Regions from separate parts of the Mus musculus genome. Here region 1 is reported to be linked to region 2. The links are microRNA targets in miRTarBase. Many come from high-throughput screens and were not tested one by one. Region 2 holds a microRNA gene; the other region holds the end of a gene's coding sequence.

Region 1 (5,158 bases), not on the chromosome of region 2:
CCAGCTAAAGTCATTAGAGATTTTAGAAGATGCTCATTATGTCCATCACGTGTAGCAGACATTGCCTCAGTTCTGGTGGCGTTTGTTTCAGAGAACCTTCTGTTTTAATGTGCTTACATGTAAGCATCTTGAATACAGAACATCAGTTCAGTGTAGCTGTTTCAATTTGAGCTTCTAGCTGTGATTAGTGGGAAGGTGTGGAGGGAGAACCCACATAGTGATGTATCCGATTTCTTTCTCCCTGTGCAGTCGAGGCTGTCTGTCAACAGTGTCACTGCTGGAGACTACTCTCGGCCCCTTCACATTTCTACTTTCATCAATGAGCTGGATTCTGGTTTTCGTCTTCTCAATCTGAAAAATGACTCCCTGAGGAAGCGCTACGACGGCTTGAAGTACGATGTGAAGAAAGTAGAGGAGGTGGTCTATGACCTTTCCATCCGAGGCTTCAATAAGGAGACAGCAGCGGCTTGTGGTGAAAAATAGGAGCTTTTCCCTGGGGCTGGCCTTGCTGGCGCCGCAGTTGCCAGGGAGGGCTAGCTCAGTGCCTCTTCCTGTAGTTAGCACACCAGTTGCTAAACACTGCGCTTTATTTTCGTAACCAGCTGTGTGCTGTGAGTGTCAGAATTGAAATACTTTTTGGATCTAAACAAAAAAAAAAAAAAGAAAAAGAAACCTTTCCACGGATGGGGTTTTTTTGTTGATTTTCAGTGCACTTGCCGTGCCGTGTTGTCGTCGTATTACCATTTTGTCAACAGTGTGAATGTTGGTCCCTTGGTAAAAGTCCTTTCTTGCTTACCTGACTGTTGATGTACTGACTGACAGGTTTGTTGTCTTGTTTGTAATTTCTCCCACAAGTAAACAATGATGTTTTCTAGGTCCAGATTAGTCCTCCATTTCCAGCTATAGCCTGGATGCAGTGTGAGAATAAAATGGTTGACAAGCAAGGGAACTTTATTTTGCCCATCTTAAGTCTTGTAAGTGAGTTGAATTTTTTGCCTAGGAAATTTGAGGCCCCGACTCTGTCCCTGCTACTAAAACAGAGCAGATGAAACTGTACAGTTCAACCCAGCAAGGTCAAGGTAGAAAGAGCCTCTGGAAAAGCGTTGTGATGTCTTGTGTTGGGTTAGAGCATCTGTTTTCTGACATCACCTTACACCCCGGCTGCCGTAGCAGTTAGTCTTTACACCTGCCTAGAGCTAACACCTGTGTGCTGTATTTGTAAACATGGAGACCTTTTCTCAGCAGCCAGCTAGAACTGGTCTGGGAGTAGAAAGCCATCCTCATGTATTCACTCCTTATCTGTACTGAGGAGTGGCTTCTTAGAGACATCAGTGCTGTTTGGAGTAGAAGAAAGTAAAATTTGGCTTTAAAAAATTCATGTGATTGGCAGTATTTTTTGGAATAAGAAATTGAAGGTTGTGATTCTGTCAGTACATTTAAAATGTATAGTTTAGGGTAGTCATGTAAACTTTGGGCTCCTCTATGCCCTCTCCTTTTCAGATCGCATAAGAATTCATATGTGGCCATTCTTGGGGTAGAACTGAAATTATTAAAGTCAAGGCTGGTGATGTAGCTTTTAGTGATAGACTTGCTTGGCAATGTGAGGCAATGGTCCATCCTAGGACTTCAAAAAACTGAAAGAAAAAAAGAAAAAAAAAACCCAACAAAAATAGTGTAGGTTTTTTTTTTTTTTGCACCCTCTGACAGGAAGCTGCTGCCATTACTAGTGTAATAGGAAGTACTCAGGGGTGTCACCCTTTCTTTCTTGGTAGCATTTTGGGCTTCATGTTTGTGCAGTGGGATCTTTGACACTGGCTTTTATCAGGCCATGGTTAGAGACTAACTGGAAAGTGGGGCCTGAAAGTGCAGGCTTGTGCTCCCAGGTACACAGGAGGCTGAGGCAGGAGATTGGCAAATTCAAGGCTTCAGGGGTAGCCTGTCTAACTGAGTGAGATCCTGTGACAAAAAAAAAAAAAAAAAAAAAAAAAAAAGACCACCCACCCCCACACACACACACAAGCAAAAAACAAAAAACACCAACCAAAAAGGCTGGGGGTATGTTTCAGTGACTTTCCCTCGCATGTTTGAGGCCTTGGGTTCAACCCTTCGTTGTGCAGCGAGCGGGGTGGCAGGAGGCTGACTCTAATTTCCCATCCTGAGGAATGAGCTGTGATTGCTGTATATTGTTGGACATGTAGACTAGCTTTCTTCATGGTTCTTTTTGCAGGGTTAGAGTAAGGTATTAGGCAATTTTTGTTAGTTTACCATTTGAGACAGGGTTTTGCTGGTAGTCCAGGCTGGCCTGGAACTCGCACCTCTGTTTCCGTTTCCTGAGTACAGGATTAGACTCTTGAAAGTGTCTGGGAAGGTAGAAGGCTTTTCAGTTGCATGGTAGTTTCACAGGCTCTTGCCTGTTCTTGTGGGTTCTGCTAGACATCATTAAAGCTCTTGTCAAAAGTTTCATATTTTCCTCTTTAGAGACAGAGGTTGTAATGTCCTGCCTGTAGTGTTGTCTAGGCTGGTCTCAACCTCCTGGGCTGAAGCTCTCCTCTTGCCTCAGCCTGTGAGCAGCTGGGACTCTAGGTCATTGCCACCATACATAACTCTTGAAATTCAGTTTCAGATGCAATGAACAAATTGCACTTAAAAGTGAAGGAGTATGTTCTAGTGTTGTGATTCTACTTGAGAGTTTAGAAGTGTCATGTTGATAATTAGTTGTGTTCGTTACTGGCTTGTAAAGCAATAAAACTGTTTTTGGTCTCTTTGTAAAGTAGTGTGCTGCTGTTTGAACTCTTCTTCTCTATGGAGAATCAAATTGTTCATGTTCTGCTGGCCAGTAGTGGCCCACACCTTTAATTCCAGCACTTGGTAGAGGCAGGTGGATTTCTGAGTTCGAGGTCAGCCTGGTCTACAGAGTAAGTTCCAGGACAGCCAGGGCTACACAGAGAAACCCTGTCTCAAAAAAAAAAATTTCATGTTCCTTGCTGGCTGAAGAAGCCTGGAGTGGTAAGCCTGAGCTGTTGTGTAAGGGTGACACCAACCAAGACACTAGTCACTCCCAGGGCTTTGATGTAAATGCAGATACTGTCTGCATGATCGACCTCCATGAAGAAATTAAAGGTGTTTGAATTGAAGATGTTGAGAAATATTGCCTCTGGTTTTAGTATACCTTTTGTTTTGCTGACCCATGGATTAAGCTCAGATCATCACATATGCTAAACATGCATTCTACCACTGAGGTACACAGCTCCCAGAATTAGTCATTTATTTTTTGAGACAGGGTCTCCTGTAGCCCAGGCTGGCCTTCAATTTGCTGTGTAGTTGAGGGTGATTTTGGACTTCTGATCCTCCTCCCTCTACCACGAGTGCCCAGGTTGTGTGTTCCATGATACCTGGTTTATGCCATGCCAGGGATCAAGTCCAGGGCAAACGTTTTAGCAATTGATGTATAGCCCCAGCCTCAACACTGTTTTCCAATTTTAGAAAATTAGGTAGGGCAGCTGGAGAGATGGCTCAGCAGTTAAGAGCATGTATAGCTTTCAGAGGCTCTGAGTTGGGTTCCCAGCACCCATGTCAGTCTGGTGGCTCAACTGCCTTTAAATTGATTTTATTCATGCAGTGCTTACTACAGTGGCCGTGACAGTTAATCTTGGTTGTCAATTTGACTGGACACGTCTAAAAGATCAGTTAAAAGACATGTCTCTAGTTGGGTCCTCCAGAGTATTTCTGGAAGGGCTGACTAAGGTGGAAGACCCTTAGGCATCTCTGGCAGCAACTGCTAGCTTCAGTCCCTCCTGGTGAGTGCATCCCCTCTGCAGGTCCTTGAATCATAAGCTGACTACTTATATAAAAAGGGGAGTCATCACTGTTAGATACCTCACATGAGTATGAATCAATGATTTGATTCATATGGGCCAGAGCCAGTAGGGTATGTAGCAGCTGAGGACTCCATCTTCCGAAGTTTGAAGCAGTTAAGATAATGCCAGGAAGTCCAGGAATGCAAAAGAGCCGGCATGCTCTCACACATGTAAGTTAGAGTAAGTTATGGCCTTTGGTTTTTATAGTGGTCCTCCCCTTTTAGCTGGGCCTCAATTCCAAATCTGACACAGAACTGAGGAAAGCTGCATCTTAAAACTTGGCTAATTATAGGATGATAGAGTTCGGGTGGTCTCTGGATGTTTTTCCAATTCCTAATTGCCTCCACCTCCCTAGCTCAGGGATTCCAGGCTTTTACCAGCATGGTTGGTTTAATCAGTATTGGGATTGAAACCTAAGGTTTTGTCCGTGGTAGCTGAGCACTCTGCCTGATGAGGTACACTCCAGCTAACACTTTGAGCTGTATGCACTTCTTGGCTTGGAGAGGAGCTTTCCTTGAGTAAGTTGTGAAACAAGCCCTTTTAAATGTGTGTTCAAATGATTGAAGGATCTTGGTGTGTTGCCCAATCTGGCGTTTTACTCAAGTGATCCTTCAGCTGGAGCCTTCCAAGTAGCTGGGACTATAGGCATGTGCTTCTGGCCGTGTCTGGTTTAACTGTAGCTTTGGCATTCCTGTAAGACCATCTCTTCCCTGATGACCTTCTGTGCTATTACCCCCTAGCCCAAAAAGAAGAAATTCAAAAACCACTATGAGTTCCCAGTATCTGCATACCTTTTAGCTGGGTGTAGTTGTTTTTAAATTTTAACATGAATATAGGAGGAAAATTATTTTTCCTTTAAAAAGTTAGGGCTTTTGTCTTACGTTTCTTGTGATAAAATACCCTGATAAGAGCAACCCTCGTAGGGTTTATTTTGGCTCTGAGGTCAAAGGTACTTTCACAGTGGGGAAGTCAAGTGTTAGGAGCTTGAAGCAGCTGCTCCCATCTCATTCCCAGGCAGGAGATAGAAATGGGTCCATGCTGGTGCTCAGCTGCCTTTCTGCCTTTTATACAGTCTAATATCAGAGCCCACTGAGTGGAACCATCCAAAATGGGTGGGGCTTCCCACCTGTCCCAGTCAAGATAACCCCTACAAGCCCTGCTCAGAGGCCAGTCTTACAGGAGATTTGAGATTTTGCTGAATTGATTAATAGCACACCTGGCAAACTTGAAGACTCATTCTCAACAAATTGAAAAAATTGGGACTTAGTAATGTGTACTTACAATACCAGTGCCAAGGAGGC
Region 2 (5,158 bases):
AACAGAGCTTATAGTGGGACATGATTGATATCCTAGGCCCTGTAATGAATGAAATGACTCTGTGGTGGGCCATGCTTTGGGCCACCAATGTATAGAGATTATACTTTTATCTGCTCCGGTATCAAGGATGCCTTTAAACTCTTTTCCGTTGATCTTAAGGCGGAGCTTAGGTCTATCATTCAAAGATACAACCAAATAGGCAGAATCATTTCTGGAGGAGCCCATTTTCTTTATCTCAGGTCCTGCAAATTTCTCCCTGGTATTATCAGGGAGGAGCAGCAGCTGAGCCATCCTATCTCCTTTGCTAATAGAAAAAACGCCTTTGGGGCTTGAGCACAGGACCTGTATTTCAGGGGAATGTTGACAATCCATAACTCCAGGGTGGACTACTAAGCCCTGCAAGGTGAGTGAACCCCGGCCGAGAATAAGGCCCATGGTTCCCGGGGGCAAGGATGGTATAGGCTCCACCGGCACCGGCTGAATACTCATTTGAGGCATTAGTAGGAAGTCGGAGGCGGCACGCAGGTCCACCCTTGTGGGTCTTCCTGGGTCGCCTCTCTGACTGCTTCCTGGGTCCTGACAAACCGGTTCCCATATCTTTGAGGGCCCTGGGACCGAGGGCCCAATGACCCGTTTTTTGGCACATAAGCTGATTGACTATCAGGTGGGGGAAGAATTCTGCCCTTTATATCCCTCACAGAGCGACACTGGTCAGCTCTATGATAACCCTTGCCACACTTAGAGCAAAGAGTGAGGGTTCCCCGCTTTTTATCTGGAGCTCTGCAATCTTTCTTAAGATGCCCAGGCTTTCTGCAGTTAAAACATGTCCTCCGATCATTTCTGCCCATGGAGCATTTTTGGGATTGAAGGATGGCAGCCGCTAAGCCTGCATTGCTGAGAGGTCTAAAGGTCCCTGGTTCGATCCCGGGTTTCAGCACCAATTCTTATTAACGCGTTCTCACGACCGGCCAGGAAAGACGCAACAAACCAGAATCTTCTGCGGCAAAGCTTTATTGCTTACATCTTCAGGAGCCAGAGTGCAAGAGAGCAAGCAAGCAAATGGCGAAACCCCATCCCTTTTTAAGGAGAATTATCCTCCACCTAGGATGTAGTACTTCCTGATTGGCTGCAGCCCATCGGCCCAGTTGTCATCACGGGAAAGGCAGAACACATGGTGGGAAAACTGCCCCTGCATGTGTGCAGACTATGTTTACCACTTAGAACACAGCTGTCAGTGCCATCTTATAATGGCAAATGTGAGGGCGGCTCCTCACACAAGGTGAAGTTTTGCTTCTAGCACAGTCTCTACAAAGATTGATTTATAGATAAATAATACTTAAATTTGGTCTTATCATGTTTTTTATTTATATCTCATGTTGCCTCCCTTACAGTCCCTCTTCCATTGCCCCTCATCCAGGCTCATCAAGTCTGCATAATTAGGATAATCCTCTCCTACAGAGGCAGGACAAGGCTGACCTCTGCTACATATGTGCCAGGGGTCTTTGTCCAACCGATGTATGCTCATTGGTTGGTGAAAAAGTCTCCAGTAGCTTCCAGTGGTCCAGGTTAGTAGACATATTTGGTTTTCCTATGGTGTTCCTGTTGCCTTCAGGCCCTTCAGTCCTTTCCCCAACTTGTCCATAAGTCGTCTGAAACCTCTGTTCAATGTTTGGTTGTGGGACTCTACATCTATTCACTTAGCTTCTGGTTGGAACTTCTCAAGGCATAACAGAGTTTGCAAGCATAACAGAGTATCATTAATAATGTCAGAGATTGGTGTTTTTTCATTTGATGGATCTCACTTTGGACGAGTTATTGGTTGGCCATTCCTTCAGTCTCTGATCTATCTTTGTCCCTGCATTTCTTTTAGACAGGACAAATTTTGAGATTCCATCTTACACAAATCAGCATAGCTAAGATAAAAAACTGATGCAACAGCAGATGCTGGCAAGGATGTGGAGAAGAAAGAAGAACATTCCTCCATTGCTGGTGGGATTGCAATCTTGAAGACCCATTCTGGAAATCAATCTGGTGTTTTTTCAAAAAAATTGTAAATAGTTCTACCTGAAGATTCAGCAATACTGCAACCCAGATATTCTTCACCTGAAGAATAGATAGAGAAAATGTATTTCATTTACACAGTGGAATACTACTCAGCTATTAAGAGGGAGGACATCCTGAGTTTTGCAGTCAAATGGATGGAACTAGAAAATATCCTGAGTGAGATAACCCAGACAGAAAAGAACATGCATGGTATGTACATACTTATACCCATGACATACGCCCACAGACCCTAAGAAGTTAAACAAGAAGGAAGGCCCAATTGAAGATGCTTGAATCACACTTAAAAAGGGTAACAGAACTGTCATGGGAGGCAGAGGGAGCAATGTGGGTATGTGAGGGGGATATGTTTGCAGGATCAGGTGTGGGAAGGGAAAAGAAAGAGGCCCATAGGCCCAGGAGAATGAATGGAAATCTCTATCTTGCAGGGGACTTACGGGTGGAGGTAATCTCTAAGCAGACCCTGAGACCTAGGATAGGGAAGGCTCCCAGGAGCCATTGTGTGTGACCTTAGCTGAGATGCCTAACAATGTGGACATGGAACCTGAAGAGGCCACCTCCTATAAACAGGCAGGACCTCCTGTGAAAGATAAGGACACGAACCCACCCATAAAACTTTTGACCTAAAATCCACATTTTTTAAATTATATTTTTATTAATCCTTTACAATTTCATATTCACTTTGGTCATAATTATAATTAAGTTTGATAAAAGAATATGTTTTGTTGTGATCATCATTTCTCTTTAAGTTAGGGTAGTGACAGGTTTTTATGTGAAATGTACATGCAAAATCAATTGGATTTTCAATATCATCAGCTTAAGTGTGAAATCAAACATTTACAGACACAGTTTAGTGGGGGTGTGTTTAATTGTGAAGATTGTGATAAAAGCTGTTGGATGAAATTGTTGTTGTTGAGATGAAGTACAAAGGATCAGTCTATGCTATCTCAAAGTACAGATTAATACATACTGAAGCCTTCATTTGATATATTCTCTTGATGCTGATGACTAAATCATTGCAGGTATCTTGAGGTCTTGCCTTGTTCATTTGTTATTCTTTGGTGTCACCTGACCTATATATTTATAAGAATATTTGTCTTGTTAATTCTATTTTTGTTTTGTTTTGTTTTGTTTTTTTGAGACAGGGTTTCTCTGTTGACCAGGCTGGCCTTAAACGAACTCAGAAATCCGCCTGCCTCTGCCTTCCGAGTGATGGGATTCACGCCCGGCTATGACTTGTTAATTCTTAACCTCTTGAATTCATACAGATTCGAGGAGTATCAAGAAAGAAGCAAGTCTGATACCTTGAAATGGAGATGGAAGATAATGGAAAATATGATTATACTTCCTGAGGAATTATGTGTAAAGAAATAACATTGCATTCATGTCATACTGAGAAGAATCATGAAAGTTGTTTTTGAAGTCAGCTGATAATAATAATAATTCGTGTGCACTATAATGCTGAGAGAAGTAGCAGTTACTTTATTCTATAAGTAACTGCAACAGCTCTCAGTATTGTAAGGCTCAACAAACGCAGGGATGGTAGCCATATGGTCATATTATGCCTTCATAGAGAAGATAAATGTACTGATTCTGGATTATACTTCATCCATCTTCATGATATCTTCAGATCTATAACCATAGAGAAGAGAACGGTTGTAGAACTTTAGAAGTATACTAAGAAAAATCCTAATGGTGGAACATGAGAAGACAGCTTCGAAGAAGAATGTGTGGTTAAAAAAAAAAAGTAATTATTGTTGACGACTTACTTCAATGTTCTATTCAATTTTATTTCACATGTTGAAATAAAGACTTCAGATGGGCTGGTTCTAGAGTACCTGGGCAGTGCTCTACTCACATGGTTGCTAATCACGTGAAGTGTAGGTGAAAGCCACCATGCTGGGTAAAGTAAAGCTCATCATGTTCTTCATTTGTTGTGGCCTTGGGTAGTAAAGATGAAGAAACTATACATCCTTATTATGGCTCCAGAATCTGCTTCCTTGTACCTGAAGAAACTATGCTCTCATTTTTTTTTTAAGTTTAAATGTTGTGGAAGTTAGCATTATTCTAGCTTGCACAGAACCCAAATTATACAAATTATAAGAACAGAAAATTGCATGCCAGTCTCAATAGGGATCATGAATATAAATATCAGAAATAAAACCAATCAATGATTTCAGGCCCAACTGAATATCAATTCAAATATCTTGTGACAACTTAGATGATGAGTGCACGAAAGTGGACTGAAAAGCTACAAGTAATTAGAGTCTTCCTTTATAAATATGGCCCTAAGTGAAAAAGAACCAAACAGATTTAAATTCAAGTCACTGAAATTATGATGGTATCAGTGATTTGAATTTAAATAGACCAAGTTCCTATCTTCTGTATTCTGTAACTTTCTCCAGTAATTGAACAGCGATATACAGGTACAATTGTGTTGTATTCTCATCCTATGCTCCCAATATTCTGATTCTTTTAGAAGATTTTCATTACCTAGTTTTTAAAAGTCATTTGCAAAGTATATCACTGATTAATCTTAAAGTCACACTGGCTATCTGGCTATAGGTCAAGAGGTCTTCCTTTATCATGCAAGGTGACAAAGTATATTTTGTATTCCCAAACAGTTGAAAATAAATAAATCAATGTTAATATGTCATGCTGTAATTGGTGAAGTGATGAAAACTGCTTGGGATGATTAGCCTACATGGATGATACCTCCATATCTTCATGCTTTATGTTATATCTCACTCAAGAAGCTGTTAGACAGTTGGACTACCGACAAATCTTCCAGGTAAAGTACTGCTCTTTAATTCAGTTATTTTTGATAGGTTCTAGGTAGTATTAGTGCTTTCCATGTAAGATCACTGATAATGGTTTTCAGGATGATCACAAAGCCTTACTATACAATTGTGTGTATCTTTTTAATCACTTTCATGGGACAGCATTCAAGCATCTATGTTAGGTAAGGAAAAGGAGAACAAGGTGCTAAAATTAAGAATTATGCTTTCATAAAAAGAAAATGAGGTACACTGTGTTAATGAAAGACTAAACACAGAAACGGTTTGAGTCTTTGTTGCCCCATATCCTTACTTTTTCA

What was found. Region 2 holds the annotated microRNA mmu-miR-883a-3p (UAACUGCAACAGCUCUCAGUAU, at 3,556-3,577, shown strand). A microRNA usually pairs through its seed, bases 2 to 8, with sites in the 3' UTR of a target mRNA and lowers its output. Matches are read on the target gene's strand: a 7mer-m8 pairs with bases 2 to 8, a 7mer-A1 pairs with bases 2 to 7 and ends in A, and an 8mer does both.
Region 1: miRTarBase lists Tsn as a target of mmu-miR-883a-3p. Seed matches in the 3' UTR shown: 7mer-A1 at 1,170-1,176.

The regions. Positions count from the first base shown.
Region 1 is chr1:118,296,129-118,301,286 of GRCm38, reverse strand. Tsn (translin) reads left to right here. Exons shown (of 6, transcript NM_011650.4): 6 at 250-2,773. The coding sequence ends at 483. Among named protein-coding and RNA genes, the nearest start is that of Tsn, 13 kb to the left of the region's middle.
Region 2 is chrX:66,779,187-66,784,344 of GRCm38, reverse strand. Mir883a (microRNA 883a) reads left to right here and starts at 3,512; the gene lies at 3,512-3,587. It overlaps Mir742 (microRNA 742), which reads left to right and starts at 3,908; the gene lies at 3,908-3,972. It also overlaps the pseudogene Gm14681.